4 linked regions of the Rhinolophus ferrumequinum genome follow. The protein of the gene in region 1 purifies or fractionates together with the protein of each later gene. This does not show direct contact. Links are inferred from orthologs where the notes say so. Each region holds a gene or a part of one and is shown in the gene's direction. Other genes may lie near its edges. The genes, in order: MAPK14, DUSP16, CCDC8 and OBSL1.

Evidence for each region.
Region 2: the proteins of MAPK14 (region 1) and DUSP16 purify together in Homo sapiens (affinity purification with mass spectrometry; 7 studies listed by BioGRID and IntAct, counting the BioPlex papers as one, with this or other methods). This does not show direct contact. The link is inferred for Rhinolophus ferrumequinum from reciprocal best matches to the Homo sapiens genes MAPK14 and DUSP16.
Region 3: the proteins of MAPK14 (region 1) and CCDC8 purify together in Homo sapiens (affinity purification with mass spectrometry; 3 studies listed by BioGRID and IntAct, counting the BioPlex papers as one, with this or other methods). This does not show direct contact. The link is inferred for Rhinolophus ferrumequinum from reciprocal best matches to the Homo sapiens genes MAPK14 and CCDC8.
Region 4: the proteins of MAPK14 (region 1) and OBSL1 purify together in Homo sapiens (affinity purification with mass spectrometry; 6 studies listed by BioGRID and IntAct, counting the BioPlex papers as one, with this or other methods). This does not show direct contact. The link is inferred for Rhinolophus ferrumequinum from reciprocal best matches to the Homo sapiens genes MAPK14 and OBSL1.

The regions. Positions count from the first base shown.
Region 1 is NC_046286.1:5,988,392-5,996,667, forward strand, and holds the start of MAPK14 (mitogen-activated protein kinase 14), read left to right. Parts: upstream 1-5,045; 5' UTR 5,046-5,394; coding exon 5,395-5,510; intron 5,511-8,276. UniProt on the Homo sapiens protein: Serine/threonine kinase which acts as an essential component of the MAP kinase signal transduction pathway.
Region 2 is NC_046293.1:27,377,400-27,384,833, reverse strand, and holds the start of DUSP16 (dual specificity protein phosphatase 16), read left to right. Parts: upstream 1-3,978; 5' UTR 3,979-5,283; intron 5,284-7,434. UniProt on the Homo sapiens protein: Dual specificity protein phosphatase involved in the inactivation of MAP kinases. Dephosphorylates MAPK10 bound to ARRB2.
Region 3 is NC_046298.1:42,671,190-42,679,070, reverse strand, and holds CCDC8 (coiled-coil domain-containing protein 8), read left to right. Parts: upstream 1-4,742; 5' UTR 4,743-5,558; coding exon 5,559-6,800; 3' UTR 6,801-7,249; downstream 7,250-7,881. UniProt on the Homo sapiens protein: Core component of the 3M complex, a complex required to regulate microtubule dynamics and genome integrity. It is unclear how the 3M complex regulates microtubules, it could act by controlling the level of a microtubule stabilizer.
Region 4 is NC_046291.1:15,954,311-15,962,039, forward strand, and holds the start of OBSL1 (obscurin-like protein 1), read left to right. Parts: upstream 1-4,564; 5' UTR 4,565-5,100; coding exon 5,101-6,112; intron 6,113-7,615; coding exon 7,616-7,729. Other genes in the region: INHA (inhibin alpha chain), read right to left, coding at 1,591-2,423, 3,746-4,016. UniProt on the Homo sapiens protein: Core component of the 3M complex, a complex required to regulate microtubule dynamics and genome integrity. It is unclear how the 3M complex regulates microtubules, it could act by controlling the level of a microtubule stabilizer.

The DNA.
Region 1 (8,276 bases):
GAGCTCTCCTCTAAACTAGGAGCAGGGAGAATAGGTATATTTGAGGAAGAGGATAGGATAGATTACAGAGGCAACAAGATAAGGCATGTAATTCAATAGATCTGAGTAGAGTCAATGTTAAACCCCAAAAAGTAGGTTAAGGCCTATTCTTAGAGGGTCTTGAATGCTGGGTTCAACCTGGACTTTTTAGCCATTTAAAGTGTTTGAGCAGATGTAGTAATATGGACAGAGACACGCTTTGGGAAGAAGTTGTCTCATTGGTATGGTCTAGAGCTGTGCTGTCCAGTATGGTAACCACTGGCTACTTGTGGCTATTTAAATTTAATTAACTAAAATAAAACCTTCAGTTCCTCAGTCACACTAGCTACATTACAAGTGTTCAACAGCCACAGGTGGCAGGGGCCACCCGACAGGACAGCACAGACATAAAACATTGCCATCATCACATTAAGTTCTATTAAACAGTGCTTGGAGATAGAAGAAGCGGAGGTAAGAAGACCTATTGGAGACCATCACCTGTACAGTGGTCTTGGGGAGAGGTACTCAGTCACAACTCATGGGGCGGTAGTGAGAATGGCTAGGAGGGGCAGGTGGAAAGCTGTCTTTACGGGGCTCCTCACAGGCCTGGCTTATGGCAGCAAGGGAAAATACATGATTTCCTTATAGTCTTCTCTGGAATTCCTCCAGCTCCATTATGTCTTTCTCGATTTCATAGAAAACCTAGTGGTTTGTTTTTTCATGCACTTAGCAGGACCCTTCCCCACAAGGTACGATGACCAGAAGCTCCTACTGACAAGTGGCAGATGTATTTGGTGGGGAGAAGGCGATGCATTTCAGAAAAAAGTCAAACCACATTGATGGGATAATGACTTTTTAGCGGAGAAAACACAAGAGGGAGTCTCTCTGACTGACTCGTGAGGCATTAGTGCGAGGAGACCTCTGTGCGCAGTGTGATCAACAACAGGCTAAACTCTACTCATAATCTTGAAGATAAATGTCCACTTAGAAAAAAATGCTCTGATGCTTTCTGCCATCGGACAAAATATTTAGGTGGGTGGACCGTGGGTCTGAATTACTTAAGGTTTCATTTTCTAATGCGATAAATGTGACATCATTTTGGGGGTATCTGGATTCACTACTAATAGAAATTAGTTTGATTTCTGTAGCTCACACTCCATCCCCACACAAATAGCATCAGCATCATCCGGGAACTAAATTAGAAATGCAAATTCTCAGGCCCCACCTAGAAAGTCCTAATTAATTAGAAACTTTGAGGATGGGCCAGCAGTCTGGTTTAAGAAGCCCTCCTGGTGATTCTGATACACAATAAAGTAGGAGAACCATTATAAATGTAGCCAATTATTTTTACTTAGCTTTTCAATGCTAAATTTGGAGGCACTGTCAAAAGACAGGCATTTTTGAACTAGCTTCTTCATACCCCAAACTACCCCTATCTATCCAGCCATCCATTGATTCGTTTACATAATGTGTTGAAAGTATTTTAAAAGTCAAGAATAAAAAATGTAAATGCAACCCAGTTTTCTGACTATTGACCCAATAGATGTGAAATCCTGAACCTCAGTTTAGTTGCAAGAATCTTTCCCCTGGTATCGTCATCTTTCATACATTCTCTATAATCATCGGAAGGTAAAATTCACTTCCAAAATTTCAAAATAAGCATTGGAATCCCATCAGAAACAGTTCGTTGCCTGTTACCATCTACGTTTTTCTGGGGAGTGTATTTGGAATATAGAAGAGGCACAAGCAGAGCACTGCTTTTAGTATACTTCAGTCACTCTGTTTAGTGGCTGGGGCTGGATAACAAGGTGACAGCCCTCAAGGAGCTGACCATTAGACACATAAACAACTACTTCATTGCGACGTGATGAGAGTATTACAAGTAGAGTGTGTTGGACAGAACTCATTATTTGGGTGGGCATGTTGGAGAGGGCTTCACCGGTGTCACTGATACATAAACAGGATTTGATAAGAGAAAGGGGCCAAGTAGGGGGAGGGTGAAAGTCGGGGTTCAGAGGGAACAAAACGAACAAAAGCAGTGAGGTCTGAAAGTATGAGGCGTGTCTGGGCAATCGAGCCTCAGGAGCTGGATGGGGTAGTCCGGTGGGGCTCGGGCAGCCGGCCGCGGTCCAGTTCTGGGGCTTCTGACAACTCGGACCAACGAGTCTGAAACGATTCAGCTTGCAAAACACACACAACTGTATCTTGCCATTGCCATTTCACGCGTCCTTTCAAAAAGTAGAGACAGTACCTCTGAGAGAGAAGCTCCCAGGGACGATCTTCATTCTTTCATTCCACAAATATTGCCTGAGCACCCGCGACGTGCCTGGCCCTGTCCGTGACGGACGCAGCCCCCCGCCCGAGGACTTGGAAATGTAACCAGGGGCTGGTCCCTCGCACCCGGCCGCCTCGCCGCTCCCAACCTGCAGCCCTGGCACCCGGGCATCCCCGGGCAGTGGCTCACCTGGTTCCTCGGCGGGGGCGGGAGTGCGGGAGCCGGAGCCCCACGCAGCTCCGGCTCGGCTGGCGGCGCTGCAGACGCGGACGCCGGCGGTTCCCGAGCCGTTGCGGCCGAATCCGCTGGCGTTCCGGCGGGCGGGGGACAAGAGTGGGGGCGAGGAAGGGGAGCATGGGCAGCGGGGGTGGGGAGCTGGAAGAGGGGTACCTGAGTTGAGCTCCCGGTATTTGGGCCGTGGAAGCTCCTAACCTGTGCCACCCAGGCCTCCACTGGCGTCCAGGTTTGACTACTTTTGATTGAGAGCCGACCTAATGCCACGCCTCGCGCGCAGCATTTCACATACAGTAATTCACTGAAGTCTCCCCACAACCATATCAGGTCAGAAGAGGCGTGAGGGAACTGGAAGCTAGAGGGTCACCCAGTTCTCCAACCCTAACACTTGGTCCCACAAGCGTGGCTCCTCCCACTGACACTCTCATGCCCAGGTCTCCTGCTCCGCTCTCTCTCCCACTGTTTCTCACTACAGCCTTCTTTTCCTGATCCGCCCACGTGCAGTTTTACACTTACAGGATTGCTGTATTAATGTCTAACATATTATTCACTTTACCTATTCCATTTTGTAAATTGTCTCATCCCTTTATAGGACAGGGTTTTTGTTTGTTTGTTTGTTTGTTTTTTAATCTCTTTCATTAACTGCTGAATCATCAGTGCCTAAAACAGTGTGGTAGATATAGTAAGTGTTCATGAAGTTTGCGTTGAATGATTGAACGATTGCCCCGCAGTTAATTGTAAGCTCCATGTAGGCAGCAATTGTGTCTATTTTTTAATCACTCTTCCATTAGAAGTGCCTGGCATCAATACATATTTATTGCATAAGTGACTGAATGTATTACTCACTTCATCTTTACCTTTTTGGTCACTCTTACCTCATCATCCCAATTTGTTAGATAAACTTATGAATTTCTTAGGGTTCCTACTTCCAAATTTCCTCCCTTGGATCCATTCACTCATCTTCTTGATTCCCATTCCACCCCTCTTTTTTTTTCACAGTCACAGTTTTGCTCTCACTTTCTCCTTCAACCTCCATTACTTCTTTGAAAGCTCCCTAACCTGTGGTCAGCTTGGAATATTTTCAAGCAGCATGTCTTCGTAGGAAAGAGAATCCAGGCTAAGCCACATTGAATCCAAAAAAGCTTTACATAAATCACCCTTGAATCTGGTTTGGGTTTTGTTTTTTTTTATGTCCTTGAGGAGAACTGAGGATCCTGCACCACCTCCTAAATTGTTCATCATTTGTTCAACAAATATTTATGGGGTATCTTTTATGTTCCAGGCACTGTGTTAGATGCTGGGACAAGACAGGCAAAGTCTGAGCACTCCAAAGGATGCACAACACAAAAGAGAATAGTCACGGGAAGTGAAGAACATTGTCCTGGCTTGGACCTAGTTATTTCTAAGCAAAATAACTATGAGAATAAGATAGGGTCCAACTCTTCTGCTTATTGTAACAAGCTTCAGCATATGGATAGGGTTATACTAACTTGCCCAATCACATTTATTATCTTGGTCAGCTTGATAAATGACCCTACTAGGTGGGAAGGTAAGACAGGAATTCTCTTTTGCAGAACTAAGGTCTAAGAAAGGCCCACTGACTTGCCTAAGAAGACACTGTCAGAAGACTACTCTGCCCTTTTCTTACTCTGAGAGGCATGAATTAAATCCTCAAAATCTTCTTCAGTGGAAGCTCTTCATGTCAGGAGTCAATTTCAAACCCTCAACGTAGTGGTTTTAAAAATGCTTTTCTAAGGGAAAAGCATCAGAGACTTCCCTGAATCAGAAATGCCTGAGGCATATTGTAAAATTGCACATTCTTGGTGCCCATCACAGACTAATCCAATCAGACTCCTTGTGTGTCCTGGGAATCTGCATTTTTAAACTCCCAATGTGATTCTTTTGCACATAAAAGTTTGAGAACTACTAGGAGAGTTTGGGTGCAAAATCTCAGCCTTAATGAAGGGCTAATATTTGCTTTTGGGACAGATTTCATCAAAATTCTGAAGAGTAAGCCATATGTCCTTGAGCAGATGGGAATGTTACGGCTTTTTGGCCAGAATCTCTCTCTCTCTCTCTTTTTAAATGCAGTTATTTCTTGGAAATTTGGGATTCCGCTGAGCAGGTGCTCTACTGCTGGTAACTAACCACTGTTCAAAGATCTTTTGGCTCTTTTCCCCGACACCCTATCTGTCACTGTCGCTTTTCACCACGAAGCCAGGCAGTTGCTCCGCCGACCACAGTGGGGCGCACGCAGCATGTGTTGCCTGCTTATTCTCTCTTTCCCCGGTCCGCCTTCGCGCCCTTAATAAGAACATACCCCGAGAGTTCCTGCCTCTGGTCTCCAGCTGTTGCTCTCTTCTCGCGAGAATTGCTACTCCCGTCCTCTCCCCTCCTCAAGCCCCTCCCGTGGGTAGGTTCCATATTGGGTAAAATCTCGGCTCGCGTAGAGTCTCGGGAGCTGTTCTCGCGAGAGTACGGCGGGAGGCTCCTGTTCGCTGGCTCTGGAACGGCGACCACTGAAACCTCAGCGGGCACAGCTGCTGTAGCCCTAGTCCCGTGGCGTAGCCCAGAGTCGGCCTGGTCCGGAGAGGGTGCAGGGAGAGCGTGGCCGGCGCAGCCCTGAGCGCCGGAGCGCGCCCCTGCTCTTAGCAGGGCTTGCCCTCGTCGTGCAGGCGCGTCCAGCCGCTGCAGCTGACAGGGGCAGCGCGCGCGGGAGTCGGCGGGGTCGCGGCAGCCGCACCTGCGCGTGCGGCCAGTGCGGGATCCCAGCCCCACCCGGCGGGCAACGAGGGCCAGGGAGCGGGTGCGGGTGCAGGCGGGGCCCGCGGAGGGCCACCTCCTCGCCCCGCGGCCGCTGCTGGAAGATGTCTCAGGAAAGGCCCACGTTTTACCGGCAGGAACTGAACAAGACTATCTGGGAGGTGCCTGAGCGTTATCAGAACCTGTCCCCGGTGGGCTCCGGCGCCTATGGCTCCGTGTGGTGAGTGTCACTGGGCTTGGGGCTGTGGTGGCTGGCTGGCCCTGCATGCCCCAGAGCCAGGCCTGCCCCCACGGCTCAGCGATGCACCAAGCGGCAGGAATTTTCCTTGGGGGAGGGCATCGCTGCCCCTTCAACCCCTGTCCAGCACTCCCTGTGCCCCTTGCACCCCTCACCCTGCACACACCTAGGTAGGTGGTCAGCTGTGTGCAGGACGCAGGTCCACGGTGGGCGGTGGGTCGTGCTGGAGCTCAGCCCTGGCTCGCACCCTGCACATTCCTTTCTTGGGGGTTGCTGCTCCGGGGGAGGCTTTTTCTGGGGGTCTCCCTGCTGGCGTCGAGCGGGAGGACCCTCTCCGGAGGTGCGCCCATCATGGGCTCCGGAGCCTGCCCTCTGAGCAGACAAACCCGGGGAGCTGCCCCGAGAAGCAGAAGAGCAAAGCCCGACCGGGAGACGGCGGTAAACCGAACAAAACTGGCGGCGAAGGGCGTTCTGTCCTGGTTTCTTTGCAAACCTCTGTCGAAATCCCATTTTGAGAAGCGTTCTTTTTGAATTCGCACTTCAATTAGCAGCGACCCATAGAGCTTAAAATACCGACTTTATCTCGGTGAGCACTGTGCCAACTCGAGTGGTGTGTTTCCGATTCGGTTGAAAGCGTATTTCCTTTTCGCAGAGTGGGGGGTGGGTGGTAGTGCTGGCAAGAACGCTGCAGCTTGAGAAACTGGCGGCCTCGCTGATTAGTCACATACCACTGCTCATTTAAGTATTGTTTGACAAAACTATTTTCTCATTTGGTGCAAGTAAGATTCAGATCCGTTGGACGCCCTCAAGATCAAAAAGTTAGGAACAATGGTGGGAGGTATTGTAAATGTTTTTTTAATTGCGATAATTCTTGTGAATAGTACTGTGTTTTTAAAGTCCCTGAGAGAGTTTGCAGGGAACTTATCTACATTTATAGCCTGAGGACACAGTGGTTTTCGTAAGGATAGGGAATATATAAAAAAGGAAGGAAGAGACACTTTTCAGCTTTAATTCGCACTGTGAGTGTGTTTTGCATTAAATTCATACCTTAAAATTTCCGGACCTGAAGTAATTACACTAATTTCTCTAACTTCCAAGGTTTTTTCACTGTATTTTAGATTTAATGTAATTTGAGAGCTCCTGATCTGAAACTGATTCATGTAAATTCATACCCATACATCATTGGAAAGGGGTCTATATACAATTACTTTTTGTTTTGGAACAAATTCCAGGCTTTTGAACATATTAGTCTTTAAATAGAATTCCCCTGTTTCTTAAAGTCACACTCACATCATGAATTTCCTGTTCAGTAGAATCTTCTGGGTAATTGAGATTGTGCAATTGTGTCTCACAGTAGATCATATTGCATTTTCTAGTTCAAGCTGCTTGAATTATGTTGCTAAGGCACGATGCTTGACATCTTTTCCACATTTTTATAGTACAGCAGTCTACATTTTAAGGGAATTTGCAGCATTTTACTATGTGTGTGTATGTGTGTGTGTGTTATTGATTTGCTAATTTTCAAAGATGTATTTGGTCATTGCTCCTTTCATAGCTCATTAGTTTATTTTTAATTCTTGAATTGATACATTAATTTTTGTAGTACCAAGGTTTTGTTTCTAGTGTTTAAATTTGAATGGAATGAGTGATACAGCAGAGAATAGCTCAACTGTGGTGAGTTGAGCAAACTTGAAAGGAACTATTTGCAAGGTTTCCCTACTGTTGGTGTGGGTAGCTCTGCACTGGAATTGAAGATGCAGATTTACAGTGGAGTGCCATTCAAGTGAACTCCACATTTCTTTAGTGCTAGTATACTTTCTGGCTTATAGAAGCCAGGAATTTCTGACACTTGGAATAATTTTGTTACACAGGTTTTTAAAAATAGTTGATACATTACACTGTATAAAATTCAGAGGGTATAAAAGGATATTCAGTGAAAAGTCTTTTCTTCTGTTCTCCAGCCATGCTATTCCTTTCCTCAGAGACAGCCACTGTTAAGTTTGTTTTGTGTCTTTCCAAGAGGCAGAGTTGTTTTTTAGTAGTATTTCTGTAAAAGGGATTTAAGGTGTAACCTATAACATTGGTGGAAGAAAATACAACTGATGTTTTGTGACAGTTGACTAAACCAATATAGTGGATTTTTTGATTGAAAATATCAGAATTTAGATTTACAAGTAAGTGTTATAATCAGGCATTCTTTCAATTAGCAACTTTTCAGGTGTGTCAGAAAACACTTTTTTTGAACTTCTCTTAGAATCCATTTTGGAGCCTGTGTTATTTTTCACAACCTTCATCCTTGGAGCGCAGATTTGATTTTAGCGAATAACAAAGAAAATCAAATTGAATCCAGATAATTGAGAGAATTTGGACTAAAGTGTGGTGAAAAAGATTAAGCAGTCAGCTTGGTGATACTGTTTTATGTCAAATAGGAGTCTCAACTATAAAGTATGACGCAGAATTTCTTGTGTGACTTGTAGAACTGGATCTGAAGTCTGTTCCCAAAAAGAATCTCGGGAAGTATTTTAAGACATGCAACATAACTGAAATATGTGTCAGTTTTTTAATTTGATTGCTCTGAAGTGCAATGCACTTCGAAGTGTAACTTAAAATTATTTTTAATTAAGGCTATTTTCATCATTTTAAAAATTTTTGCTAAGTTTATAGTAAAAAAGCAAATAGTATGTAGCCTTTGTGATAACCAATCATGAATGAAAGATCAAGGAATCAGACTAGAAATTTGAGAATTGA
Region 2 (7,434 bases), on another chromosome or scaffold:
TGGATGGTCCACCTTTTCCCATTGATCTATCTATTTTAGTACTATACCAAATGTTTTAATTAGTGTAGCTTTAGAAAACATTTAAAAAATCTAATGGCTTTAGATTTTTATCAGACAGTGAAAATACTCCTAATGATATTATAATGATGAATATATGTCCAAACTCATAGAAAGTACAGTACCAAGAGTGGACTCTCAGGTAAAGTATAGACATTAGGTGATTATGATGTTTAATGTAGGTTCATCCTTGGTGAAAAGAAAAAAAAGTACCATTCTAGTGAGTAATGTTCATCATGGGGGAGGCTGTGTGTATGTGGGGGTGGGGACATATGGGAAACCTCTGTACCTCCCTTTCAATTTTATTGTAAATTTAAAACCACTCTAGAAAAATAAAGTCTTTAAAAAATAAAATTCAAATTTAAAAAATCCAACGGAACTAATTTCCTTTCATAATTCTGTTCTCATGTTTATATTTCCAGATGGTCTATACTCAACTGTCAATAAAAAATATAATTGTATGCTCTGTTTGTACAGGGTAACAATGGCTGGTAAGATAATTTCGTGATTCCTAATACCCAGTATGGTTTTTATTATTGTTTTCATTTCTAATATTGTAGCGTAAACAACATTGATCATATCTATTTTTTTTCTGATTTGTTCATATGTATTCCTTCCCCAAATTAAACTTTTGGCTGAAAACTACTTGAGAATGCACCAGTGTTTACCATACTGAACCCTCTAAAATGCACAAAAACAGGCAGTGCCTATTGAAGATTGGAAACACGAGGCCTGTGCTAGAATATGGATAAAAAAAGCTCATGTTCATCATGCTTCTGATCCCACACTCCCAGTAAGTACAGGGTTCCAGAATCAGTCTTTGTTCACTATCTTTTTCTCCTTACCACATATCTCTCATCCATGTAGTTAGTTAGAGATGCAACTTTTCAGTCTTGGAAAAATACAGATTTATCAAAAAGCACTAAGGAAACATGTGGAATCATAGTAACTACAGTCACTGTCACAAAAGTCTAACCTTTATGTGGTTTCCCATAGGCTCAATCCTCCCTCTGACCGTGCCTCCCGCTTCTTGAAGTCCACAGGCATTCTGAAGTTTTCTTGCAACATCTGTGAGTCACAGGTCAGGGATTCAGAAAAGAAGATCCATAAAGCTCAGGAGCTACAACCAGAAGGAAATGACCAATGGCCTGTTGGTAAGCTCTGTCCCTCCTCCTCATCTGAACACCACCATCCTGCTCCCTGCCCCAACCCCCAAGATCTGAAAGTTCAAAGGTAGCATTGCCTCTATAGGACCTGCCCAGGGAATTTCTTAGTTAGGCTCCCAACTTCTAACTCTCCATTCACCTGGAATCTTCTGATGGTTGCTATTTTCACCACCATCCACAGAAAAACTGGGTAAACAGGAACTGATAGATTTCCACGTGAAAAACAATAAGAAATGGCTTTGACTGGTTTATGTGACCATGAGCACAGCCTAACACCAGTTGTCTGGTGAAGTCATGCGCTTTTCCTTTGATGACCTCCCGCCTGGGTGCCTTCGATAGACTTTCTGAATTGGGCTAGAGACTAGACTAAATGATCTTTGAATTGGGGTGTGTATGAATCATGGAAAGCTTCCCCAAGGAGGTGGCAGCTGAGGCAACCTAGAATGGGATTCAAATAGGCACATAAGGGGGAGGAGAAGAGAAAATAGCATTCCAGGTAGAGGGAAGAGTATACACAAAGGCATGGAGATATGATATAGCACAGCAGGACCTACAAATAATTCATTACTGAGATATCACTGGAGTATTAAATACCCGGAGTGGCACGGATGATGTTGGAGAAGTAGGGAGTGGCCGGGTCCTGGGGGTGCTGGTGTACCATGAGCAAAAGTTTGGGTTTCATCTTACAGACATTTGAAGGGTTTTTAAGCAGATGAATGACATATGGTAAATCATGATGACCTCACCAAAAAGAATATAAGGCAATTTTGAAATTAACCTAATCAATGAAAGCTGGTGTGATTCTTGTCATTGATATGCTCGAGGATCATCATACAGATTCTAAGATTGACAAAAAGAAGTCTCCACTGACCTATCTTCTTACACTGGGTTATGACATAGTTGGATTGACATATTAGAAAGATCACCCTGGTGGTGTTGCAGGAAATCATTTTAAGGGTATGGAGACTGGAAGTAGGGAAGTAAGTAAAAGCATTATTGGAATTGCCTAGGTGAGCAATGACAGAGGCTTGAACTAGGGCAGTAAGTAGAGACATCTGTTGAAGAAAAAACTCAGCAGATTTGTTTGAAGAGATAATGGAGCAGAATGTGGCAGCAATGAAAATGTATCTCTCAGAAAGGATTACAGCTGATAATCCCAGTCTCTGTGCTCTGAAATCCGTCACTACTCCTTGCTACGGTCATGCCTCCCCCAGTCTGCTTCATGACGAAGTGTGGGAAGGATACTAAGGCAGGCCCACCTCTGGGAAACGTGGGACTGCTCGGATGAGCAACTTCAGCTCCAAGATGTTTCATCAGCTTTGCTGAACTTTCTCAGAACTGCACTACAATTAAAGATTCTTTCACTCAACCAACCTTCCAACCAACCCTTCCTCCCTTCCTTCCTTTCTTCTATGATTTGTAAGGATCAGACCTACATCATGGTCTGGCGGCTTTCCCCGAGAACCGGGGGACTAAACTTATGGTGGGTCAGCTTTTGGGCTCTGGAGTCACAATAACCTGGGTGTGAATCTGGCCCCACCATTCCTAGATATAAGAGTGCAAGCAAGGAATTTAATTTCTTAAAAGTGCCAGTCTTCTCATCTGTAAAATCATAATAGTTCTTGTGAGGATTAAATTAGTCAGGCTTATCAAGTATCTTAGCACAGTATCTGGCACATAGTAAGTGCCTGATAAATGTTAGCCATTCTTATTATTAGATGTGGGGGATGAAGGAGAGGAAGAAGTCAGAGGTAACGCCTAGGTTTCTGGCTATTTACAATATATAAAGTCATCACAAATAATTCACTCAAGTTGGTTCTCCTTTTGCATACAGCACGTATCTTTTTGAGTACAAAAGAGATTAGGACATCCTTCCTTTCTTTCCTCCCCTCTCTTAAATCTCTTGAGTCCTCTAGCTCTCATGGCTAAAGGAAAATAAACAATTAAATGGTACATCAAAATGGACATAAAAAAACCTCTCGATTCTGCAATTTAGAGGGTGGCCTTTCGCCACATTACCCCAGGCACCAAGTTCCGCGGATGAGACAAGCTCTGAGAATATTCTTCAGCCCATTCTAGAGCTCCTGCATATATACCAAGGCGGAAAAGTTAGCCACCTCCCTTAAGGATCTGAAAAACTAGGCCAGGGAATTCCAAATTAAATGCTCTTTATAGTTTTATTTAGAACAGGTGAGCTATTAAATAGGCGCTAGCAAGCACACTGCAAAGTGCACATTAGCTACGATCTTCCCCTTCCCCAGCACACTTAAAAAGCTTAAGACAAACACAATTCAAATTATAGACTGGAATATGAAGTTAAAACTAGCAAAATGGAATGAAAGGGAAAATGTAAACCCCTAAACAAAATTTTAGGAAATGAATGGTATAAACCTGGGATGGGGAAAATGCAGCTGAGCAGTGGTTTGTATGAAAAATGCCATGGGTTTTAGGTTAACCATCCTCTCCATGGAGCCAACAGTGTAATTTTGGTTGTAACGAAATGAGTGTACTCGTCAGCGGTGTACTAGAAGTATAATAACGGGAAACTTCTGTTTCCTCATCTGTAATATTAGGGGCTGGATTAGATGACTTCCAAGTACCATCTAGGCCTATGATTTTGTAAGTGCATGACTAGGACTCGAAAGCGCTAAACCCGAATTCCTACATTTTCAGGACCTGACCATAGAAAAGATACATAGGCTTGATGAACACAGACAATCCATTTTAATCTGGTTGACTTTACAGCTTAAATGATCTTGGGGACGGCGGATCTTCCCATGTGCTGAAGTGACCCACAGATACCTCCCCAGATGAGTGTGGCAATGGAACAAACTTACGTACATCTATTTCGCACCATGTCAAGCTTTACACAAAACTGTTTCTCTTGAGGTGGCAAGCTTGAGCAACCAGTTTTTCCTGAAGTTTGCCTGATACCCATGTTTACGGTGAGCTGTTCTGTCGTTCTTCTCTCTTGCCATAGCCATGGAGGGGCCCTCCCAAGTCAACTAGCTGACTATTGACATTGGTAATCAAGGATTTCAGAGGCAGAGATCAAGGTCAACATAGGGCAATGACAGAAAGGACTAGAGAGCCCTAGTTCACGGGGCCCCCTTACTAGGCTCTGCTGTACATTGGCTGAGGGAGGGCATGGATCCAAGTTTTAGCCACAGCATAACAGGCAGTCTGTGATGGTTTTGTGGGTAACCAGCGAGCTTCCTCCCTCCATCAGTGCTGCTACCATTCTCTTCTGGATACCTAAGCTGGCATTTTCAGGCATTTTAAACATCTTCTGAGAAAGAGACAGTAAGAGACCAATCACGGGAAAAGCAAAACTTAAATAAAAATAGAATTCCAAATATTTCAGCTGGAATCTCTTTGTCTAGCTAAAAGAGATTTAGAGAGTGGATCAGAAAGCCTGTGTGTCCTTGTTCTGCAGTAACCAGGTGTATGTATGCCCTTGGGTAAGTCACTCAACAACCCTGGGCCCGTTTCCTCACTTGTAAAATGAGGAAGAACCCCATTCAGCTACTTTTGAGTGTCGGAGTCCCTTTAGACTCCCCTGGTTTATGGAGGAGCCCTGTCCTAGGAACAAATTATATACTGTGCAGGAAAGGAATTGTATATAGACTGGGAGGTGATCTCCATCAAGCCAGTTAGAAGTACCCTAGAACCTTAAAAGGATGTTTGTGAAGAGCAATAAGCAAGAACTGAAATCACAGGACTCCCAGGTTCCTGCCCCAGGTTAGTCCCTCCCAGGTACTGGCTGAGTTGTTCTGTGTCTCATTCTTAACTCGGTCAGGCAGAAGAGGTCACAGAGGGTGGGGCTATGACCAATGGATCACATTCTCAATGTTCTGGAAAAAGGACAGAGGTAGCAGAAAGGCCAGAAGAGGAGTTTCCGCTGCACATTAGCCTCAATTGACTACCCCATTCTCTTTCCAGATTGGAAAGGACATGCCAGCCAGGTAGCTTTGGCATCCCCGGCTCCTCAAGTACCTTTATCACCTCAGCAGCACAGCCACCAACTTGGGAAGGAAACCAAGATCTTGGACCAAAAGGGGTAAGTCCAAGAGATGCTAAGTTCGATGGGCTTTTGGAGATTTTTGTGGGATTCATAGACACTTATATTTTCAGGGGAGAGGTCTTCCTTTTTTTTTTTTTTTTTTTAACTGTGGTACAATATACATGAGTTTTACGATTGCGACAATTTTTAAATATACAGTTCAGTGGAGAAGTATTTTTTGATTACTTCAGTTCTCTCCCTATCCTGATGTAGAGTGTGTGTTCCCTGCTACCAAGATTCTTGATTATTCTGTAGGGTTCAGACTGTAGGGTCTGAACGGTTAAGCTGGGTTTGACTTCTGCAATAGAACATCCAAAAATACCAGAAACAGGACAGGAAATTATTCAGTGGTCATTTCTCCTTTGATATGGGTGATATCACACTTGCTGCTCTGTCTCTTTAATTTTTATCTCTGCCTTGGCCCTAACCACTTGTCCAGACCTGTGGCTTGCCCTTGGGCCTGCTTTCTTTTGTTACACTGCATTTTTGTTCTCTGATGACTCCTGGCTCATTCTCACAGTGAGAAAATTATTTTCCCTGGGATGGGACTAGTCTGCCCCTTCAGTGATCCTGCAGAGCTTCTTTGTCAGATAGAACTGACAGCCTCTGCTCTCTACCTGAGCTCCGATCCCACACCCCTGACCGTGTGCTGCCCATTTCCTCTGGAATGTGCCAGTCATTGTTCTGCCAAACAGATTGCAACATGTCCAAAAGCAACCTTCATTTTTTTGCCACAAACCAGCTGCTCTTATAACCTTTGAGTCCCTTACTAGTCCATTAAGTCATTTGGAGGAGAAGCAAAGTCTGCTTTGATTTAATCTCCTTTTAGTACCCTTAGCCATTCGGTCCCCAAGAACAATCAGATTTTCCTTCAAATACTGGTCATTGTTCCCGCCCCTCCCTCCCACCCTCATGCTCACCTCAAATATCATCTGGTGCTGTGTCCACTCTTTCCCTGATTGGATTCCCTGTGCCAGGCCGATGCCAGACCTAGACCTACCTTCACTAATCAAGTCACATCTGTTCGAAACCCGGAAGGTCTTCCCCATTCCTATGGTATAGGCTTCTTGCCCTTATTAGGCTCTTAAAGTTTTCCCTAATTTGATCCCATTCTAGAAAATCCATATGCCAGGCAGCTGTATTTTAAGGGGAAGTTTAATGAACTTGGAATTACTGGACCTGCTTTCAGATTCTAGCTTTGTTCTCAGCAGAACCTTGCACAATTTACTGATTCTGGGAGCCTTACATCCCCATTTGCAAAATGGGGATACAAATACCTATATCATGGGAATTTTATGAAGATGTAAAGAGATAAATATGTGTGGAGGCAGGTTAGCATTGTACTCAGAACCCACATTTGAACTGACTCCCTTGGTTCACATCCAGGCTTTTCCACTCAATAACTATGTGACCCGGAGCAAGTTCCTGAACCTCTCTGGGCTTCATCTTTTTCATCTGTAAAGTAGAGATACAACAGTGCATACCTCCTAGGTCTGTAGTGATAATTAAATGAGATACTATATGTAAAGGGCTTAATATATGCCTGGCACACTGGAAGCTGTAATAGGCGTAAGCTATTATTATTATTATTATGTGCAAGAGCCCTATTGCTTGACAGCTAATCAGCACTGAATCATGTTTGCTAAGTTTGTTAATGAATTCATCTTATCCATGTGATCTCATTTCCCACTAATTCTTGCTATGCACATTTTTGTGCCACTCCTCCTCTAGACCACCTTGGCTTTCCATTAAAACCTCATCTACTTTTCTTGTCTTTGGTTATGGTATTTCTCTTTTCTACAATGTCAAAATTTCTCTTCTCTGCCTATCCAAATTCTTCCCAGTGTTTAAGGTCTATCCTAAACCCTGCCTCCATGAAACTTTCCCTCATTACTTCTGTACTTAGTGATTTCTCATTTTTCTGAACCAATTACCATTGATTTAGCATCTGATAACACTCAGATGCTGTTTCCTGTGTATTCATTTTATGTCTTCAACTAGTTTGGAAGATATTCCTGTTTAACATTGTTTCAGAATTCACAGTAAATATGGTGAATATTTAATCTACTAGACTACCTTATCAACCCAGACTATCTCATGGGTTATGCTCAGATTATATTTGGGGTGGAATTTGGAGAAAGGGAAACA
Region 3 (7,881 bases), on another chromosome or scaffold:
CTGACCTTGGAGTCACAGCATGGTTTACAGAGCCGGGATTTGAACGAGGCTCAATTCTACGTGAATAACCATTAGGCAACACTGCCCTTCTAAAAACCAAGGCTTACATTTTTCGAGTATTTACATTCCCAGATCCTGTGCCAACGCTTAAGATACATGGTCTCATTGACTGCTGTTAAGCGTTGGCCACTGAGATCCTGGGTCCAGTGACAGTTGTGTTTTGTATTGACAAAAAAAACACAGTAGCCTGGTTTTCTCTCTCAGATTCCTGAACTTGATAAATGTGTGTCTAGCTCCCTCCATGTGCAGACATTCTCCACGTGCTGACAAAAGGCTGTTTTGGAACCTGGGATGCCAGATGACAAACCAGTGAACACATTAAAGTAATGCCCCTCAGGGGATATTACCTAACTTGAGCCCTGGCATCAGGGCACAGGATAAAGAGGGTGTCATTGCTGCTTCCTGCTGTATTTGTTGAGGACCTACTATGTGCTATCATTTAACCCTTTGGTATCTGGTTCACAGGTGTGGATAAATTATATCCTGTTTATCGTAGACAGGGACCTGATTTCCGGACGTTCAAGATGGAGGACAAATCTGGTGACTGTGCCAAGGTTACAAGTGTCATCTGGGAGAGAAGTCTTTCGGGATTTCTCACCAATCTTATTCCCCACCTCAAATCTGCCAGGCAACTGGGCAAATAATGGAGGCTTAAGAGCGTCGGGGTTGACCAATATCACCCCGACAAATTAAAAAAAAAAAGAGTGTGGCGGTTGGAATCTAAGGAACCTGAGTGAGTCAGAGCTCAGCTCTGCCACTTCCTAGCTGTATGGCCTTCTTTGGCTTCAGTTTTTCTCATCTGGAAAATGGGAATAACACTTGCATAGGAGAGGTTCTGAGGATTAAAAGAGAAAACACACAGGGCCAGGGACAAAGTGGGTGCTCAATAAAACAGAATAATAATCAGTATTATCACTTTCCCACCTTGTGGGCATATGTGATGGAAAACTGAGATGGATATGCATATACTGATATGAAAGACTTCAAGACATGCTATTAAGTGCAAAAAAAGCAAGTTTTATAGTAATAGATCTAGCATCATTCATTCATTCATCAAATATTTTGAGCACCTGTTAGGACTGTTCTAGATACTGAGAATTCAGTAGTGAACAAACCAGGTAACTATCTCTGCCTTTATGGGACTAATGTTCTAATAGGGTGAGACAATAAATAAATAAGAAAATACCAGGCAGTGGTACGCGCTGTGATGAAAACAATTTAGGATGATGTGAAAAACCCCCCATGGGGTAAATTCTAAAATTACACATACGCTAAAGTAAGCATTTTTTTCCCCCTGGAAAAGTACAGAGATATTTAACTGCGATCACTTTGGGGGAGAGGCTGGAGGCTTGGGGCTGGGGCTGGGTTGCTTTTCATTTTACACCTCTCTGTAACTCCAGCATTTTCTTAGCATGTGTGTGTGTGTCACTTTTAATATTACTATTGTTATTTTTAACGGCAACCAAGTGAAACTGGGTAGAGAGATTTGGGCCATATTTTGTTTTCTCCCCCTATTTTCTGATTTTTCATTTCTTTTAAATAAATATAAAAGTGGAAGCTATAATTATCCTTTTGTGTGTGTGGGGGGGGAGGGGGGTGGCTGGAGAAGGATCTTGCCTGCCAGAGACCTGGGCAAGTTAAAACACCCACAGTGAATTGCTCAGAGGTTGGCAATTTCTGTAAGAATGTTGAACATATGAGGTTTTCATTTCTAGGATAACCCTCCCTTCCTTCCAACCAAAGACAGAAACAGCCCAAATGTCTCAACTTCGAGGTCATTATTTTGACTTCTCAGATTTGGGATTTTCAGCTTTGGGCCTCTACGAAGCACATTCTAAGAGAAGGTGACTTGGGGCATCAGACTTAAGGAAGGGATAAGAAGCGGGAAAGAGGCGCTGCCCTGCCCCCACCCCTTCCCCCCCTCCCCGGCCCGCCCCACTCTACCCTCTCAGAGCCAACCCGCGCTTTGGAACGCGTCTCCTCGTTGCCATGGAGACCGCTGGGAGGCTGGGCGAGAAACGGAGCAAAAGGGAGGAGCTGGGTGGCGCGAGGCCCGGCTTGGGCAGAGGCCTCGGATGGGGCTGGCGAGGAGGAGCAGAAAATCCAGCAAAGCAAAGCCAACCGAGTGAGCCAACAATTGTGCAAAGGCCTCGCTAAGACCCTGACCTCCCTCCATTCCCCAAGCGTCTTCCTTCCTCTTTCCCTTCCCTTCCTTTAATCGCCCCCTTTCCTCTTTTTCTAAACATCTGCCTGGTTCCTTCAGGAGTTAAATAAAACCACATATCTTGAGTTAAATAAAATTACACGTATTCATTTTTGTTGTATCTCCTCGCTCGCGGGCGGTGAAAGAATTCACAAGTCAGATAGAAATATAGATTTATTAAAGTAAGAGGAGGGTCGCGTCAGCTGGAAACTACTGCAAACTACTGCATTGAGTCCTTGTTTGGTCTCAAGTTTTGTATTTACTAACCAGGCTGTAAATTGTTTCGGTCTGTAATTGGGGGTGGGGGAAGGTGCTGTAAAGTTGGTTATGGCAACCTTTCCATACGTTATGTAGATTTAAGTTGGAGCCAGAAGAGTGGATCCCATACAGATGAAAAACTTCCCAAGTCACAGGGCCTGCACTGGGCCGAAGTAAATAGAAACAAAAGAGAATCGTTAAGAGGCAAAGAAAAGAAAGCTTTCAAAACTTCTCAAGCTAAATTGCCCTTATTAATTTGAATTACACCGGAGGTCCAAATCTCAAAAATAGAAGATTTAGTGTCCCCTGTCTTAACAATTTTTATACTTTGTATTAAAGTCATTATTTTACAGGCTTCTTTACTTTTTTTTTTTGACTGTTGGAATTTTTCTTTTGACAGCTGTATTTCATTATAATTGGTTTCCTTTGTAATCCAATGGATGCAAATCTATGCTTTGAAACACTTTATGCTGGAAAGGGACCATGGCATGGTTAAGGATTCCTAAGCTATAGGGCCCTGGAGAGGGTTGGGGAGGGGGGAGACAGAATCACTTCTCTAAAAAACGTGCCATTTGAGCAGAGGGAGATTGCCAGAGAAGGTGGGAGCAGAGCATTCTGGGTGGAGGGAACAGCAAGTGCAAAGGCCCTGAGGTTGGGGGCAAACATTGTTGGAGGAACAGTGAAAAAGCAGCAGGTGTGGTTGGAGTGGAATAGAGAGAGGGACGTGGGGAGAACTGATAGGGCTTCGTGGGCTGAGGTGAGGACTTAGATTTTACTCCTAGGTAAGGATTTTAGAAAGAGTACAGATAGATCTGACTTACGTTTTTAAAAGATCCCTCCAGCTGCCAGTTGGGGATGGATTGCAGGCTGCAAAGGGAAAGCAGGCCGCCCAGTGAAGAGGTGTTTTTTGTGGATCCAGGCAAGCGATAAAGATCAGCTGTGTCTTCCGAGCCTGCCTGGATGGTTACTCCAGTGCCTAAGTTCAAATATCAGCCCCTCTACTTACAGCTGTGCAACTTCAGACCAGACTCAGTGTCCCCATTTGTAAGAAGATGATAGTGAAGGCATGCACCTTACCCTATAGCTTTTGAGCATTCATAACAACAGGCTATTCAGGGTACCTGGTTCCAAGGAAACCTTTTGTGCAAGTTAACAATTATTATTACTAATGCCATTGTTATTATTGTGCATATTGGTGCTGACATGGCTGCCTCAGTAGTACCTGGGGAGCTTTGCAAATCCTGGCCCCTGAATCCCAGGAAACCACTATGTCTGTGGCCGAGTTTGAGGCCCTTTGGTTTAATTTCATTTGTTTTAATTAACATTTTGGATTGCCAAAAAGCCATGCAATCCAAAAGGATATACAGTGAAAAGGACACATCTCTGCCACATGTTGGAGTCCCCAGTCCCCCTCCTCAGAAACAGCTACGGTTGGCAGAGCTTGTACATGTGCTGAGTACATGTATACACACACACACACACACACACACACACACACACACACACACACCAGGTCAGGCTGTTTCAGATTCAAATCCAGATTCAATCATTTCCTTGCTGTGTGACTTTTATTTTCTCAGCTACAAAATGGGAATGATTGTATTACCTGTCTCATAATGTTATGGTGAAGATTTCATGAGTTGATTCATAGAAAGCACTTACAGTGGTGCCTACGCACATAGGAAGTGCTCTATAAAAGTTAACTATCCTTTTTTCATAGCTGCTCAGTGTTTCACTGTAAGAATAGACCATAAAATTAAGTCAGTCCCTGCCGAACAATTAGGTTCATTCATTCACTTCACTCAAAAATATTTGTTGAGCACCTACTGTGTGCCAAGCCCCACTGGTACAGCTGGTGAATTAAGATCCTGGTACCACTTTTCCCACCCCTATTTATGGGTATATAGGGAGGAATTGCTGGTACCAGAAGTCACATAAATTTAGAATGGTACTATACGGTGTCAGTGGCTTTCCAAAGGACGGCCCCATTAGCACACCCACCTCTGGGCGTGGCTGGAACCCGCACATTTAGGATGGTAGGTTTGGGAATTGCTGCCTTATTCGGAGAAGGTGCTGACGTGGGCCTCGGCGCGCTTTCAGCTTGGAGGCGGTGGCCCCAGCCAGGCCCGGGGCGCGGCCACACCCCCGTGAGGGAGGGGAGTGAGGGCGACCCAAAAGGAGTGGACAGCCCCGCTGTCAGTCTTCTCGAGTCTGGGAGTGTAAAATGAGAAGGGGAAAGGTGGGCCTCACCCTGGGGGAGGACGAGAAGGAACTTCCCTCCCTGGAGCTCCACAGCAGCGCGCGCGCGGGCAGGGAGGCGGGAGGCGCGTCAAGGTCAGCCTGGACGGGGGTGGCAGCCTGCCGAGGGGCGGGAGACCCTCCGGAGGGGCTGGGCTGCTCCTCCTAGCGCCTCGGCCATATTGAATAGCCGCGGCTGAGCTGTCTTTGTCTGCGAAGTCCTCTCCCAAGTTCCAGGCGCGTCCCTCGTGCCTGGGGCAGGAAGAGCCCGGGTCAGCCCGTGCGCCCCAACTTGGAGCTGGGACACCACTTTTGGAGCTTGCTGTGGGCTTTGAGCCTCAGGACTGACCTCACCCCGGCTCACGTAAGCATCCTGGCAATTGATTTCCACCAGTCCTTAAGAGGGGACTCTGCCTTGATCCAGAGAGGACTTGTTGCAAGCAGAGAAATTGGGAGGTGTTGGCTCATCTTCGGCTGGGGAGGTGAGACTCTCCGGGCAGTGCTGCTGGGACCTCCCACCTCCACTTCGACCCCCAAGACTAGGGGCTTCGTGTAGTTTGGGCTTGTTGCTCCCACCCCAGATTTCACCCTGGAGATCTTAAAGACCCTCGAGAAAAGCCACGTGGGGGGCTGGTTCCCCTGGGGCTTCCTCCCGTCGCCCGACTGCCTGATCCTCTGGAGCGTCCCCGACGTCTGCAAAGATGTGGATTTGGACGTCCTCGTGGAAGCCTTGAAGCCTGTGGGAACCTTTAAGAAGATCGGCAAGGTGTTCCGCAGGGAGGAGGACTCCACGGTGGGGATGCTGCAGATTGGGGAGGACGTAGACTATTTGCTCATCCCCCGGGAGGTCAGGCTGGCTGGGGGCGTCTGGAGGGTCATCTCCAAGCCTGCCACCAAGGAGGCGGAATTTCGGGAGCGGCTGACCCAATTTTTGGAGGAAGAAGGCCGCACCCTGGAGGACGTGGCCCGCATCATTGAGAAGAGCACCCCTCACCCGCCCCAGCCCCCCAAAAAACCCAAGGAGCCCCGAGTGAGGAGGAGAGTCCAGCAGATGGTGACCCCTCCTCCCCGGCTGGTTGTGGGCACTTATGACAGCAGCAACGCCAGCGATAGCGAGTTCAGCGACTTCGAGACCTCCAGAGAGAAGAGTAACAAGGGCCACAAAGGCTCAGGGCGTGGCAGGAAGGTACGCAAAATGCCCGTAAGTTACCTGGGCAGCAAATTCCTGGGGAGCGACCTGGAGAGCGAGGATGACGAGGAACTGGTGGAGGCCTTTCTTCGCCGTGGGGAGAAGAAACCCAGTGCGCCGCCGGCCCGCCGCCGCGTGAACCTGCCGGTCCCCATGTTTGAGGACAACCCGGGGCCCCAGCCATCTAAGGCGGACAGGTGGCGAGAGTATGTTAGCCAGGTTTCCTGGGGGAAGCTGAAGCAGAGGGTGAAGGGTTGGACCCCGAGGTCCAGCCCAGGAGTAGGCGAGGCCCAGCAGGCCTCTACCAGGGTGGAGAGAGATGGGGTGCCAGGAAGTGCCAGCTGGGGGGATAATATGGGGAATGCAGGAGATGGGCCAGAGCCTGAGGCCCCTCCAAGACGATGGAGGCCCAAGATCAACTGGGCCTCATTTAGGAGGCACAGGACGGTGGAAGCAGCATCTGCAGTTCAGGGGACAGAGGCTGCAGGTAATCAGAGAGAAGAGGCTGCAGATGACCAGAGGGCAGAGGCCATAGCTGACCCGGGGGCAGAGGCTGCACATAATGAGAGGGCAGAGGCCCCGGCTGTCCAGGAAGCTGAAGCCTTAGCTGCCTCGGGGGCCACAGGAGCCACCCCAGGAGTTAGGGCCCGAAAACAGGTGAAGACAGTGAGGTTCCAGACCCCTGGGCGCTTCTCGTGGTTTCGCAAGCGCCGGAGAGCCTTTTGGCACACTCCCCGGGTGCCAACCCTGCCCAAGAGAGTCCCCAGGGCAGCCGAAGCCAGGAGCCTCAGGGTGCTGAGGGCCGAGGCCAGAGCAGAAGCAGAGCAGGGCGAACAAGAGGACCTGCTGTGAGGTGCTGGCAGGGAAGCCAGAGCACCCGCCGCCACCCACTAACTTATTGGCCACTCAGGACGCATCCCTCCCTCTCCTGCCCTTGGACGGAGATGATCTTTCTGCCTCCACACCTGAAATGGGAGGTCGAGTGAAGGCCAGGCAGTGCCCCTCACCTGTCTACCTAGCACCCCTTTTCATGTTAAAATTTTATCTGTCATGCATTGATTTTTAAAAGTCTTTCTAGTAACCCAAGGAATGTAAAGAAGGAAATCTGTACAATGGGGTTGTGTTAATTTCCTCAAAAGCAACTCCAGGTGCTCAGCTTGAAAAAGGGAGCGAGGGCAGGGAGAAATGCCTCTCTTCCCCTTTCTCATCTCCCTTTCTCCTGCACACTTCACATTGACTGCCTCCTTGAATTTACAAAGAGGGCACAAGCCAACATGCAAATAAAAATGTTTACAAACTTATTTCTTGGCTTTGGACTTGGCAGCGGAAGAATGCTCCAGGGTGATTCTGTCACGTCCTTGTGTCCCCTCCATGACCTGTGTTTATGTCAGTTTGCTTGCCATCCCCACACCCTTGGGTTCTGCCAGGTCCGAGGGTCCAGGGCCTGCAGTTTATACACTTCATACGTTTTACAAGGGACAAAAGAATCATCTGGAAAATGTGTCTAAATGCAGAGTCTGGGACCCTTCATGCCAGAGCTGTGAGTAGCACTGGCTGTGCCCCACCATCAGGGGCAGCTTGGCCACTGGACACAGTGAAAAATCATTGCAATAGGAACAGGCCAAAAGGGGGATTGTGGTGTAGTAATGTGGAGTGGGTTGTGACTGGTTCTTACAATCGGGGAGAAATCGGGTTGCTAAGGCCCTGTGGGAGCTGGAGAACATCTCCGCATTGTTTGTGTCCCCACCCCACCCCCACCAGTGACAAAACAGATAGCAAACGACCACACCCCAACCTCACTGGAGGCCGGAGAAAAGGGAATTGTGGAGGAGGGGCTCTGAAGGTCAGCTCTGTCCTGATTGGCTGCAACCTGGCCTGAGTTTCTTAGTTTTTTTTTCCCTTGGAACTTAAGAACGATCAGCCCTCTCCACCC
Region 4 (7,729 bases), on another chromosome or scaffold:
GATTCTCTCCCCTCCACATCTCCTTCCTGGGGAGGTGCTTACCTGCCCACCCCATGAGCTGGGTTAGTAGGAGGGAGTCTTTGATGAGTCACTCTGTTAGCAGAAATACACACTGCAGTGGTGCAGTCAGTATCAGAAAACGCTCTTGAATTTCCATCTGAGGGACCTAAACATCCCCAACCTTCCGCGTCACACCTACCTGAGAGCCAGGACCTGGGGCAGGACAGCAGGATCACACGACTGAGGGAGAAGGAGGAGAGTGAAAAAAGGAGGAAGGAAGGCTCAGGAAGCGGGGCTCCCAATGGCCAATCAAGGCAGGCAGAATGGACTGATAGGAGACCCAACGGGAAAAGGTTCCTTGCACCCTGCCGTGCACTCCGCGTGTACACAAAGTGTGGACACAGATTCACCCAAGAGCACACTTTTTTCGCCAGTAGGCTCTGCCTTTCCATGCTTCCAACGTTAAGGACTGAGTCAAGGGGTTATCTAAAGACACACAGGGCACATCAAAGGAGCCAAAGACTTCAAGAACCCAGATTGCAGCACAACCAGGCTTCAGGAAGGGCTACATGATAGGTTTGAGGGAGTCCCAGGCCCTCAGCAAATTAAAATCCTCAGGTCTTCGTTCTTCTGTCTCATCTCTGCAGTTGTCAACTTTCAGATACTGCCAACTCACACCATCTCTCCTTTACATGCCACCCAAGTTCCTGAGACACCCAAGATCTGATCAGCTCTGAACATCTGTCTCAGTGGGACCCTAAGCCATGATCTCTGGCCGGTCTAAGAATCACCTGACCTTGAGCTAGGTATCCATCAGCTAAGGCATAGAATGGCAGGGGAGGGGCTTCTGTGTAGGCACTATAAGTACAGCAGTTGCCTTTAGGTGTAGCAGGGCAGGCACCCTGATTGACATATCAGGTCCAGCTGGCATGAGGGCCAGTTCTGTCTCCAGAGTGGCTGTCAGGAGCTAGCAGCACCTTTGCGTCACCAAGCATTGTAGCTTTCCACCAGATATGCATCCAATTCCAGCTCTTTTATTTATTTTTTATTTTTTAAAATAGTGAGTCCAGTTTGTTTTTGTCTTCTTTTGCTTTTAATTTTATTGGGGAATATTGGGGAACAGCGTGTTTCTCCAGGGCCCACCAGCTCCAAGTCGTTGTCCTTCAATCTAGTTGTGGAGGGCGCAGCCCACCAGCCCATGTGGGAATCGAACCAGCAACTCTGTTGTTCAGAGCTCGCGCTCTAACCAGTTGAGCCATCCGGCTGCCCCCTCCAGCTATATCTCAAACCCCAGATCTCTGAGGTCAAGTGAGGCTGAGTGCCCAAAGATTCCGCAGTCCCATGCTCCTGGGGCCAGGTCCTCCCCTCCACCACCCACCACCGCCATATCAGAGAAGCCGAGGACGCATGCCAAGTCATATGCACTGGGTTGTTTATTGTCACACTGCTTATGGGACAGGGGTAAGAGGGGGAGGGGAGCCCTCAGACAGACAAGTGGAAGAAGGGGGGAAATGGGAAACATCTATTTTCCAAATTCTGTTCTTCCTCCCAGCATGTGCTGGTAGGGGCTCGGCCACCAGCAGGACTCCCTTAGATGCAAGCACAGTGCTGCGTGAGAAGGTTGGGCACCGTCTCATACTTGAAAGAGTAGCCTCCATCCGAGGTGGTGCGGACACGGAGGGACCTCATGGTTCCCGGGAGAGCAGCACAGCAGGGCTGGGCCCCTGGCACCAGAGAAAGGAGCTGGACAGGGGTAGGGGGAACCCCAGGGAGCGGGAGAGGCCCGTCTGGTTGGGTGGGTGGCCCACAGCCACCGTGACAATAGTGGAAGATGAAACTGGGAGGGTGCACGATCCACTGTTCCCAGCCCAGCTCCTGGAAGGAGATGTTGAGGGCCGCCCGGTGGCAGTGGGCATGGGCAGCGGGCTCCTCTGGAGGCCTCTGCAGCAGGCGCAGCGCGGCGGGAGACCAAGGCCCGGGCAGCGGGGGAGCCGAGCGTCGGGCTCGTTCCCTTCTGCTAGGCGGCTTAGCCCGTGTGTGGGCCACCAGGAAGGGTGTGGTCTCAGGCTTGGCTGAGCAGGAACAGAGAGGACAGCGCAGCAGTAGTACCAGGACAGGTTGGGTCAGCAGAGGGAGGGCAGAGGCAGCCAGGTTTAGCACAGCCCAGCTAGGAGGTGCCTGGCCCAATGACACAGGCACCGCTATGGGACCCCCAGATGACAGAGCCAGAAGGTCTAGCAGGGGCCCAGAGCTATTGGAGGCTGCTGTGCCCTGCCTGTCCAGTCCCATGTGAAACCATAGCTGGGCGGAAGTCACCTGGCGACTGCGTGTGTGATGGGATGGCCGGAACATGTATGTGAAGAGGCCCTCCTCAGCCTCCTGGGCCAGCTCTCCCGCCGCTGGCTGGTCCTCACAGCTGGCACCTGCAGGAGACAGAGGGAAGGGAGAGGGCAGCCGTGACTGGAGAGACGCAGCTGCCATTCACGAGCCTGCCAAAACTCCACTGAGTGCTCTGCCAGACTCAGGACTCCCCCCAGTCTTGGGAGAACTGACAGAGGCTCCTCTTTTGTTATTTCATCACAAAAGGACTTAAAAAGTACAAGACATTGCCAACTTCTCTCGAGTGGTTTTACCAATTAATATACCCATCAGCAATGTGTAAGAAGCCCTGACACTCTATCTTCACCAACACTTGGAATCGTTAGTTATACTTAAATTTTTTGTTCATCTTAAAGTGTGAAAGGGCACCTTGAATGGCACGTAGGCAGGCATTTGTAGGATTACTCTTCATATCTTTTTACATGTCAGTAATAGTATATTACAAAATTTTTAAATAACTCCACTTTAATAAGATAGGTTAACACCAAAAAGGAGGAGGAGAAAAGACATAGCTGAGAATAAAGGACAGTGCTTTCTAAGAAAGTGCAGTTGGCATCCTTACCCTGACAGGTATACAAACTACACTAAACAATCATGGATCAGCACCAGGTGAAGGTCTGGCAATTGGGGCTATACTGCTACATGGATTATCTCATGGATAACTTCACAACGAGCGACCCATTTTGTAGATAAGGAAACTGAGGGTTAGAAAGGTGAAGTGACATTGAACTACGAAGTGTCCATGCCGGGATTCCACCTGATCCCAAAGCCACACTTACTTACTGTGCAGCAGGGGGACTGAAGCACAGGGAGGCAGGGGTCCTCTCTAAGAGAAAGGTGGGCCAGATTACAAGAAAGTCCAGCCAGAGGAGGCCTTTTCTCATTGAGTCAGTGGAACATGGGGAGGTGAGAAAGGAACTCAAGAGAAGGTAGACTAGTTTCCCAGAAAAGTTTCCCAACAAATCTCTCTCCTGCATCTCTGTTATTTCTCAAGTCTCAGCTACTTGGGGCTAAAGAAAGGACCAGAACAGGGAGCAGGGGCAGAAATAGGAGGAAAGTGGCAGGAAGAGACCACGCCCAGATATCGCTGACTCCAGAGACCCTTAGCCTCCCAGGAGAATATCTCCCAGCTACCTCATATGAGCCATGCACTCTAAGTGCAGCATCTCCCGAAATCCTGAGCGATAGACATTATTGCCCATTTTATAGATGAGGAAACAGCGGCTCAGGTAGGTTCAGTCATTGGCCCATTGTTGCAAAGCCAGTTGAATAGCAGGTCTGGGATTCAAACCCAGATCTGCCTGCCTTCCAAGCCCATGCTGTCCCACACTGCTTCTCAAAGTCACCAGTTCCCCATCCTCATTACCTGTGGCCGGGAAAAGGATGGCCTGGGAGACATCCTCCTCCTCGGGCTCAGAGCCCCTGCGCATGGAGCCCCCCACAGCATGTCTTCGGGGCAAACGCCTGACTCCAAGATCTCTACTTTCACGAGTCACTGCTGGGGACCCCAAGGCATCCAGGAACAGGGCCCTCACTTTTGCCAAGACAAGTTCCCGGTCCACCTCCGGCCCATGGCAGCTATGCCCCCGCTGTGGGGCCACCAGCAAGAGGAGTAGCAGTGGCAGCCGGGGCAACATAGCTCACCTGCCCCTGACAATGGCGAACCCACAGCCTGCCCTGTGCCCCTCTGTCAGGGTCTGCCCGGGACCTCCCCCACTCTCCCTTCCCCATCCCACCACCTGCCTTCTTCTACCCTTCTCATCCCAGTCTTCCCCAGGCCTTCCCACACCCTGCAGTCCAAGTTGCCCCTGCCGTGGCATTGAGGCCTCCTATCTCTGACGCAGATGTCTGTGACCCTGAGCCTTATCTCCCACTCCCGCCAGGAATGTGGGGGAGGGGGCTGGTGAGGGTTTTTCACCCCAAGTGACCTCTCACATACAACCCCTTCCCCCTACACACACACACACACACACACACACACACACACACAGTCACATCCCAGCACCCAGCACAGAAGTGACATCAGGTGGAACAGGAGGCTGGGAGCTGTGGCCTGCCAGCTCTTAAAAGTGTTATTTGCTAAGGTGACAAAACACACCAGCCCCTCAGACCTTCTGGGGCCCCTTTCAGACAAACAGCTGCTGGGCCAGTCATGGGGGGAAGGGCTGAGGCTGGAGCTAGAACTGGGGTTAGTGCGGGGGGCAGGTGGTCCCGCCTGCTCTAAACTTAGCCTGGAGGAGCCAGTCTGGGCTCTTGTCTTCCAGCTGTGTCATCAGAGAATATTTTTGGGATTGGCAGCTGCAGGCGCCTCTGCCACTCAGGCCCTAGCCTGGCGGGAGGTTGGGGACCTGGCGGCTGGAGGTGGTAGGGAGGAGGGGAAAGAGGCCCAGGCTGTGGGAGGGGGCTGGGAAGAGAGGCTTTCAGGAGCAGGAAGCCAGGCCGCGGGCAGAGGAGGCCGCGGGGCCCCTCGCTGTAAAGGCAAACAGGAAGGACTGCCCCCTGAGCTCTGGGCTCCGGGCCCAGGAATCGCCGCCGCCGCCGCAGAGCTGCCCCTCCGGGTCGACGGTAAGGAGGCGACCCGGGAGCGGGCAGCCAGAGGGAGAGCTCCCCGGATCCCCAGGCCGGGTCCCCAGACGCGCCCCGCCTCCCGGGCTCCAGGCCTCCGCGCGCCCGCCGCCCGCCCTTCCCCGGCGCAGCTGCGGGTCGTTTGCGGCCGCCGCGATGAAGGCGGGATCGGGCGATCAGGGGAGCCCCCCGTGCTTCCTGCGCTTCCCGCGGCCCGTGCGGGTGGTAAGTGGCGCGGAAGCTGAGCTCAAGTGCGTCGTCCTGGGGGAACCACCGCCCATTGTCGTGTGGGAGAAGGGCGGGCAGCAGCTGGCGGCCTCGGAGCGCCTCAGCTTCCCGGCCGACGGCGCCGAGCACTGCCTGCTGCTGAGCGTCGCGCTGCCCACCGACGCGGGGGTCTACGTGTGCCGCGCCCGCAACGCGGCGGGGGAGGCCTACGCTGCGGCCGCCGTCACCGTGCTGGAGCCGCCGGCCCCCGAGCCGGAGCCCCAGCCCGCCGAGCGCCCGCTGCCGCCGCCCGGGACTGGGGAGGGCGCCCCGGTGTTCCTCTCGGGGCCCCGGTCGCAGTGGGTGTTGCGGGGAGCGGAGGTGATGCTGACGTGCCAGGTGGGGGGCCTCCCCGTGCCCACGCTGTACTGGGAGAAGGATGGGATGGCGCTGGACGAAGTGTGGGACAGCAGCCACTTCGCGCTGGAGCCGGGCCGCGCCGAGGACGGCAGGGGCGCGAGCCTGGCTCTACGCATCCTGGCGGCGCGGCTGCCCGACTCTGGCGTCTACGTGTGCCACGCCCGCAATGCCCACGGCCACGCGCAGGCGGGCGCGCTGCTCCAGGTGCAGCAGCCTCCCGAGAGCCCGCCCCCGGACCCCGATGAGGCCCCCAAGCCTGTGGTGGAGCCGGTCAAGTGCGCGCCCAAGACCTTTTGGGTGAACGAGGGCAAGCACGCCAAGTTCCGCTGCTACGTGATGGGCAAGCCGGAGCCTGAGATCGAATGGCACTGGGAGGGCCGCCCTCTGCTCCCCGACCGCCGCCGTCTGATGTACCGCGACCGCGACGGCGGCTTCGTGCTTAAGGTGCTCTACTGCCAGGCCAAGGACCGCGGGCTCTACGTGTGCGCCGCGCGCAACTCGGCGGGCCAGACGCTCAGCGCTGTGCAGCTGCACGTCAAAGGTACGGCGGCACCTCCTCCCAAGCCCTCCTAACTCCAGCCCCCTTCGGTGCCCAGTGCTGCCCTAAAGACGTTTTGGGGAGGGGAAGCGGAGTACCAAAATCCCATTTCCTGCCTGCCTCCCGCCCCCAGGGATTCGGATTTAGTAAGTCTCCACGGTACCCAGGAGCTTCTTAGCAAACTCCCCAAGTGATTCTGAGGCTCATGGTGGAAACCTCCCTTTGATTAAAGGCTTTAAGAAGTGATTGATGGACAAACCGAGAAGAGCCTAGAACTCTTCTAGTCCAGTGGTTTTCAACCTTTGTTATTTTACTTCCCCTCCCCCAATAGAAATCCCATCTGTGCCCCCAATATATAAGAAAGAGAAAAGGATCATTTTATGGCAGTAAATTTCTAAGTCCAGATTTATAACGTGTACTTAGAAAGCCAATCAATGAGAACAAGGAGGCTGTTTTATTGAATATACACATTTTAAGTGAAGGCTGCGTTCATCACCTGGTCTGTGGGAAGGCCTGGCTGCAAGTAGTCACATTGAGAAACTCTTGATTCATAGTAAAGGTAAATTTGAGGGATAAAAACTGCTCTGTGAATTTTGACTATTCTTCCATTAGGCTGCTCTCCCCAGCTTTGCAAGAAGAAGGTGAAGGAGAAGAAATTTATATTTCAAAGTTGAGTCACCTCAACAATATCTAATAAATGCTCATAAACAGAAAACAGGGGAGAGCACCCCAAACTCATCCTGGAGGATAAAGCTCTCCATAATAGGAATTCATCACAACCTGCAGGATTATATCTTTCGTAGTTATTGCCCAACGTTTTCCCGCAGAGGAAAAAAAGTTGGCAGCTCTCCTGAGCCCTGCCTGGCAAGCATTCAAGCATGTGGCACCTGTGCCATGGTGGTGGCCTCATGGGTATGGTGACATGCATACACTGGCCAGGCAGGCTGAACTCTTAACTCCATCAAGAGGGGAAAAAAGCCCAGTGGCAAGGCAGACCTTCCCGGAGCTGCACAACAAACGCACTTCTCAGCAGCCCAGGTGAACCTACTGGTCGTTTCCAGCATCATGCTTTTTTTTTTTTTTTTTTTTTTTTTTTCAAAAAATAAATGCTTAAAGTACTTTAAAGAGAAAATGCAACTCAGAACCTTGCAGAATTTGTGCAGTGCCTCTGAGGGACCACAGGGAGCATTTTGAAAATCACTGATGTGGTCCAAGGCCTTTCTACCCCTTTCCCCATTTTACAGGTATGGAAACTGAGGCCCAAGATCACTAAAATGGCCTTGCTGGAGGTGATGTGGCTAGTGAGTGTCAGGGTCAGATGAGAATTTAGACCATCTGATGTTCCTTTCTGGTGGTTTTTGTTTTTCTATGATTCCACAATGTCTTCGTGCGCCAGGAGAAAAGCAAACGGCCTGAGCTAATGTGGGTGTAGGCAGTTGATGCTAGGAGGAGTCTTCCTAGTCTGGCCCTCTCCAGAGCCTTCTCTGGTCTCTCCCCTCTCCACAGAGCCCCGCCTCCGCTTCTCGAGGCCTCTGCAGGATGTGGAGGGCCGGGAACATGGGATTGCCGTGCTAGAGTGCAAAGTACCCAACTCCCGCATTCCCACTGCCTGGTTCCGTG